Xenopus tropicalis: one gene and its partner. The protein of the gene in region 1 interacts with the protein of each later gene in a pairwise test. Links are inferred from orthologs where the notes say so. Each region holds a gene or a part of one and is shown in the gene's direction. Other genes may lie near its edges.

Region 1 (3,656 bases):
ATTATTAAAAAAAAAAAGACAGGCAAATAAAAACAAAAAACTAAAAAATGAAGCACGATTGGAAAGTTGATAAGAATCGGATATTCTATAGTATACTAAATATTCACTTAAAGGTGAACCACCCTTTTAAGGGGAACTGCATCTTTAATATCTGAATTACTTGCATTTCTCTTTTGCAGCTATCAAGCTCTCATATGAGGCTATAAGAATATTATTATTGCTACATTTTTTTATTTTTTTTTTACTTATAGGGGAGCTCCGGCTTCTGAAACCAAAATTTGTTCCTTCAAAACATGAATGAATGTAAATTTTATATGCTGAAATTAAGCTGCAAAACAGTTCTCTTTCTGTATCATTTGAAATCCTGGCAAGGGAGGAGGGACTGAAACGCTGATGTTACAAATTGTAACAACATCTCCACAGCTTATTGACGTCATGCAGGAACTACATAGCCCACAATGCATTCCTTATTGACATCACCTGTGCAGGGAATTGTGGGATTTGGAACTATTTTAATATTCATATTTTAATATACCAAGGACTGACATGTCAATGCCTCTTGTTCCATAACTGTAATGGAAAGCATTGCAATTTCAGAGGTGCTTTAACTGATTGTATATTCTCTAAAGGTGTTTGAAGCAGTGATTGTTTGGGTAAATCATGACACAGAAGTTCGGCAGGAGCATATGTCTCACCTCATGGAACATGTACGTCTCCCGCTGCTATCCCGGGACTATCTTGTACAGGTAGGTACTGTATCCTGTTGCATGTACTGCTGCTTCCTGGATACTTAAATGTTCTAAACGCATTTACTCATATTTTATGGTTTTCTGCTTTTTATTTATTTTTTGTTATTTCTTAGAGCTTTCTGGTTCTCAATATAAATTTAAAGGATATATCTCTCATCTGTATATATAAAATGATATCCGAGATCAGTGGTGTTACTTGGTTGCGCCGGGCACCCCTGCAGAAAAAACTTAGGACTTGTTTGAAAATCGGATGATGTTTTAGGTCACACGTAGAACATTTTAAAGCATTCACAAACTTTCAAGCCTTTTAGTAAAGTGGGTCCTTCTTGAAACTTGCCATAAGCTGATAAATCTGAACTCCACCTAGTTATCGTCTGATTGTAGAGGTAAGATGATTGTAGAGGTAAGATTATGTACAGAGATGAGGAGAAATCTCCCCTCCCTAAAGGTGGTCATACACCTTAAGGATCCGCTCATTTGGTGAGGTTGCCAAATGAGCTGAGTTTTCTCCCAATATGCCCACCTAAGGTGGGCAATATTGTGCTAATTCACTTGGCCTATTATTACAACAACAGGTATAGGAGCTGTTGGAGTGAGAACTACATCAGTGAGCCGATCCGAAGGAAAAAAAAAACCTGCCTTATCGACACCTTTTCAGCCAGATTTTGGTCAGGTAGGACCATTAGGGGTCCGCCATACACAGGCAGATAAGCTGCCGAAGGACTTGAGTCGGCAGCTTAAATCTGAATGTGTATGGCCAACTTTAGCCTCACCCAAGGAGTAGGACCACCACTCTATAGAGTGACTTCCTCAAATTCATCGGTCATTTTAACTTCCTTGATGTATATTATACATATAACGGTGTTATTTTTTTTATAATTCATAATTCCAAAACAAAGACAGAAATATGGCACAGCAAGAAATGCCTTCTGTGACAGAGAAAAATCATCTTGTAACTTCCTTGCTGCATTATTGCATTGTACTGTGTGTATTTTTTATGTCCTATTCAGTGATTATATTCCCATGGAAACAAAGATCATTTTATGTTTTGTAAGCTGTGTTTGCAGCAGAGTTCTCTTTGCTGTGGGTGTGCACATTACATTTTTATGCAGTTCAGTTGTCTGTCTTAGGGTGAAGACACACAGAGCTACCAGTAGCAGCTACTTGTTGCAGCAACTAAAATAGATGATGCTGATCATTTACTGATAACAGTCTCTACGTGTGTTTTAGCAATTCTTAGTATTGCCAATTTTCTGGCGTTTAGTAGCCATGACAAGTAGCTGCTACTAAGTAGCTCAGTGTGTCTTCACCCTTACCTTGTGTGTATTCTCAAACGCAAACCCTTGAGGTAAGATTGCATGGAAGTACCTTTTACAACAGTTACTTACCACTGACTAGAAAGATGTCATTTCTCTACCTTAAATGGTTCATAGTTTGTGCATGTCTTAATAGATAAAATGAAAAAATAGGCAATAATGGAGAATAAGGACTGTGTTAATATTTGCTATAATGCAGTTTGTGGTATTGTTTTTATAGAGGGTTGAAGAAGAGACACTGGTGAAAAACAGCAGTGCCTGCAAGGATTACCTCATTGAAGCTATGAAGTATCACCTACTCCCAGGTGATCAACGCACATTGATAAAAAGTGCCCGAACCAGACAAAGGACACCCGTCAGCATGCCAAAGGTAACATTATTTCATATGTTTTGTTTTTTTATTTTATAGATAAACCTCTAACCATTATCTTTAGCAGGCACTAGTTAGTGTAGTTCAAGTTCATTAAAAAATATAGGATAGAGAGTGATTTTGTGCGTCAAGTGAAAGTCCTGATAACAAAATCTAATATAAGCAGCAGGTTCCTTGCTTCATCGCTAGTGCAGAGAGTGCAATTGCAATTTCCTCTCTTTTAGGGATACACTGAATCCAGGATAAGGTTCGGGTTTCAGCCAAGATTCAGCTTTTTCAGCAGTATTCTGCCGAATCATGCTCCTGGCCAAACCAAAGCCTTTAAATCACATGATATTTTGTCACATTTTGAAGTTTTGAAAAATTTTCACCATACACTGCACGTGTGAATCTCTTTACCCTTAATTATCCTAATTTGCATATGCAAATTAGGTTTGGTATTCAGCCAAAGCTTTCACAAGGGGTTCGGCCAAATCCGAAGATAGCTTTTTGCCGCCCCTGGTAACTTGTGGGCTGATGCCACCTGAAGAGAGTTTCTCAACCGCCTTATAACATCAGCGACCCTGCTACATATTAAGATTAGGAGGTAGCCTGTACAGGGTGTTCCAAAATGGACACAGTCTTTTGCTTTCAGTTTACACATTACTAAAGTGATAATGACGTAGGGAATGGTAGGCCCAAAGCCTTGATGGGTTTAAGGTGACATCTTCATTATGATTCTCTAGCAATTCATGACTTTTTAATTTTTTTCATATATCTACACTGAAAGGCTGAATTTTGTGAATGTCTATAGATTATGTGCATACTGTAAATTTCAATATCAGAGTTCAGTAATGTGGTTTCTTTTCAGCTAATGGTAGTTGTTGGAGGTCAGGCTCCTAAGGCTATACGCAGTGTGGAATGCTATGATTTCAAAGAGGAGCAGTGGCACCAGTTGGCTGAACTGCCATCAAGGAGATGCAGATCAGGTATGTTTCAACATAATCAACTCCACTGTTAACCAATCCAAATACAAAACTGAATTAATATGAGGCTTATACAAAATGGTTATTGGCATTGTGATAAGACATTTTGTTTCTTGTTTAGCTAAAAATATTGTATAAATGTCATTCTTGTCTTGGTGAACTTGTATTTCTTTATTTCATTTAAGGTTTCCTTTATTACTTACCCATTCTGCATATCTTTTACATCACACACTAGCAGAGAGAATGGCAATTTGTC
Region 2 (3,656 bases), on another chromosome or scaffold:
AATAGAAAAACTGTCAATAAGATCATTTTATTTGGCCAGGTTGCTTATGAAACTCCCACATTTATGTATTTGCCCTTCTATTCACTACAAACAACCCTAATGTTTTATTTGTTTGTTTTTTTTTACAACTACCTGAAGAGTATTAATTTCTCTTTCATTAAAACTTTTTAATTTAATTTTAATTAAACTAGTATTAAACCTTTCCCCCACAGGATGTTTCTGTGCGGTGACTGTTAATGTCCCTTCACCAATTGACGCTGAGATTGGGGATCAAGTGAACATCCAGTGTAAGCCATCGGCCGCCGGGTCACCCAAGTACAGTGTGGAATGGTTTGTGGTGAGTAATGGACAAATGACCTTTGGTGAGAGACCCCTATATCACAGTGAGAATTAATACTCTATTAGAGCAATGTAAAAAATAGATAATAAAATCATAGTCCATAGTACCATGGTCCTCTAGCCTGTACTGTCTAAATATTTATTTACTAACAGTTCCCTACTATGGGTTAACATGGGGCCTTTGGGTAAAATGTCCCTGCTATATACCATGCAGACAGATCAGTATGGGGACCCCCAGCGCATCGCATCATACAGCAATGGAAGAAGTATCACAGATCCAGGAACACAATACAGTGACAGAGTGTCGGTCAACGCTGAGCTCAGCCTGGTAATCAATGATGTACGTGTAGAGGACGAAAGGAGCTTTCTCTGCAAAGTGAATGCGGGGAGTGAAGGCACAGCTAAGGGTAGTGCTGACATGAAAGTGTACGGTGAGTTTAATAAGATGTAGATACATTTCCTTTCCTTTCATAGTAATATAATAACCATCAGATGGAGGCAAACTGAATGTACAGTGTTCTGGGGCCTACTTGCCCTTTCCAATGTCTGCCTAGCATTCTTGTGAATACACTATCTAGTGTCTGTCCTGGGGCCCAATGGACTGGAGGGCAACCAATATAGGGAAGCAGGGCATGATGATGCTAGGGCAGGTCCTAGCCCCCCCCCCCTTGTCTCCTAATGAAAGGTTCATCTGGGGTCTGATTGGTCAGCAGTACTTCGGGTAGAAGGATATTGGGGGTGGGCCTTAGTAGCAGACTCCCCACAGCAGGTTATTGAAGTCGCAGTGGCAGGAGTGGCTTGATTCTGAGCCACAGGGGTAATTAAAATGGGCAGTTGGCAAGGTAGGGGTAAATGGTAGGCCTGGAGTTCTGGGGAAGGTGCATAACTTTGGATAGGGCCTTGGACAGTAGTCTAGAAACAGGCTCCAGGCCTGGTTATGTAGGTCTTGTTATCTTGTAGTACAAACAATGTTGTTACAATAAGTTATAATGTTATATATATATTTTCTTCCCAACCTGTTGTCTGGTTTTGTGTGTATGGAGTAAGGTTGGGCAGGGGGTGGGTACTGCAAGCTCAATGCTGCACTCGTCATGTATTCTGTGGCTGGCCAATATTCTTGTATAAAATTACCAAGAATATCAAATGTCTATCCAAATCTGGATAGACATCTGTGGCCTGTTACTACTCTCTCTGTTGTTTAAAATACTTTGCAGAGCCTGCTTACTCTATCCACTCTATCTTACTCTGTCCTACATTTTGGGGTCTGCCTGCTCATTCTCTCCTGTGCCTGGCCAACATACTTACTTGTTCTGTCCATTGGCCAATTACTCGCTCTTTCCAATTTCTAACCAACAACAGTCTGGGACCATCTATCCAACACCTGTACAACATTCTGTGGTCTACATTTTTATTATATCTGTCTAACACTGTGGAGTTCTTTATCTCTCTCTCTCTAGCCAATACCTGTCCATTACCCTGAAGTTTTTTTTAATCACTGTATTCAATTCCTGCCAACTTATTCACACTGTCCAATGGCATTGCAGTATTCTTTGTGTCCAAAATTCTATTTCTATTCTCATTTTAATGTAACAACGACTTAATTAGTTATAAAGTTGCAAAATTCAACCAAATCAGTGGGTGCCTAGTGGGATAATTGCAAGGTTTATGGAAGTTTTGTAAAGGAAGTGATTTTTGGGATATTCAGATCTTATTCTAAGTCCTCTTTTCTTCTTACCTCTCTCAGATCCACCAGAAATGCCAGAAGTCTCCTTGACTGCAGGAATATTGTCAGTCACTGAATCGGATGCAGTGGAGGTGAGTGACATCTACTTCTTGTGATTTTATTCGATATCATTTAGTCCTTTACTTTCAAGCAATTTATGTTTCTGATATTTTAATAATAATTTATAATAGTTTATACTTCTCTTTGGAGGCTTCACACACCTATCAGTGCTGTATGTCTTCACATGTTCAGTTCCTTTCTTATAACTCTTCTTGATTAGATTGGAACCTGTATCGGTCGGAATGCATATCCTGCTCCAACTATTGAGTGGTACAAGGACAAGCAATCCCTAAACCCACCAAAAAGCCCAAACAAGGGTATGTGCAAAGGTCTTCAGACTTCTTAGCTTCTTACAGATTTCTTGGTGATTACAAACACTTGTGTTGTTCATGTCATGATGTAATAAATAAAAAAAAAAATAATTAGTTAAACTTTTGTTGGACCCCTATGGGGGGCCGGGCTGCCATTTTAGGAGCCTATATGTAATAAAAAAAAGTTGGGTTCAGTAACCCATTGAAACCACTCAGCAAATTGCCTTTAGTAGTTACCTGTTTGAATGCAAACATCTGTTAGGTTGCTACAGGTTACTAAACCTAGTGAAAACTGTGAGTAACAAGGATATTAGTTAAAGGTGCCATAGAGAGAGAGAGATAAGACACTGGTGTGTGAGAATAATCTGAGCATGTCTAATAATGAACCTTGTCTTTTTCTGCATTTGCTACGGCAGATCTGTACATGACCTCTCGCACCGTCAGGGAAGCCTCTGGTTTGTTTACGGTCTCCAGCACTCTCTTCTTAAGGCCAACGAAGCAAGATGCCGATTCTCAGTTTTCCTGTAGAGTTGTATATCCTGTACCCGGGGGATCTTTCAGCTTTATGGAATCTTATTCCTTTAATCTGACATTGCACTGTGAGTGAGGCCACTGCTTTATGTTACCTTTATTCCTTTTTTCCTTGCATGCCTTCCAAAAACAAATAATTCTCTTTGTATTTCTTCACCCTCCCTTTGGGTTAAAACAGACAGTAGTGTACTTTGTGTTAAAGAGCTATAACTTTGTATTACAATTTAAGGAATGTATATGCCCTATTCATTCTGTTCATAGCACTTAGAACCAAAATAGTTTGAACGTTGTCTCTTTGTGTGTGGTATCTTCCAACAGCTGTTGGGAATCCCTTCTGTGTGTTTGCATTCTGGTGTCTGGAATATACACCTTAAAGAGAAAGTAAAAATGCCTTGGCAATACTCTTGCAGAGCTGTAAAAGTGCAAGTGCTAGTGCTGGCCAATCATGGTCCCTGCAATAAAGAGAGCAATAAAGTAGAGCTTATGTGATCTTGCTTGACCTGCTTATTTCAGCATAGTCCCGTGCTTTAAATACCCATTCTTTTTCCACTGTGTCACAAATTAACTATGCATTGGAAACCACAGAGATAAAAATTAGCTTTTTTATTATTGTCTAAATATTCTGTTTTTATAGTACCTAAACAAAAATGTACAAATCAGAAACACTACTACAAAATAGTGTCAAATGCACA

Evidence for each region. The genes of interacting proteins can lie anywhere in the genome.
Region 2: the proteins of klhl2 (region 1) and bcam interact in binary tests that used the Homo sapiens proteins (3 or more experiments, as listed by UniProt). The two-hybrid records come from large-scale screens. The link is inferred for Xenopus tropicalis from reciprocal best matches to the Homo sapiens genes KLHL2 and BCAM.

The regions. Positions count from the first base shown.
Region 1 is NC_030677.2:51,312,543-51,316,198, reverse strand, and holds part of klhl2 (kelch-like protein 2), read left to right. Parts: intron 1-629; coding exon 630-746; intron 747-2,285; coding exon 2,286-2,435; intron 2,436-3,285; coding exon 3,286-3,403; intron 3,404-3,656. UniProt on the Homo sapiens protein: Substrate-specific adapter of a BCR (BTB-CUL3-RBX1) E3 ubiquitin ligase complex that mediates the ubiquitination of target proteins, such as NPTXR, WNK1, WNK3 and WNK4, leading most often to their proteasomal degradation.
Region 2 is NC_030683.2:109,108,967-109,112,622, reverse strand, and holds part of bcam (basal cell adhesion molecule), read left to right. Parts: intron 1-212; coding exon 213-337; intron 338-553; coding exon 554-770; intron 771-2,083; coding exon 2,084-2,154; intron 2,155-2,342; coding exon 2,343-2,439; intron 2,440-2,849; coding exon 2,850-3,032; intron 3,033-3,656. UniProt on the Homo sapiens protein: Transmembrane glycoprotein that functions as both a receptor and an adhesion molecule playing a crucial role in cell adhesion, motility, migration and invasion.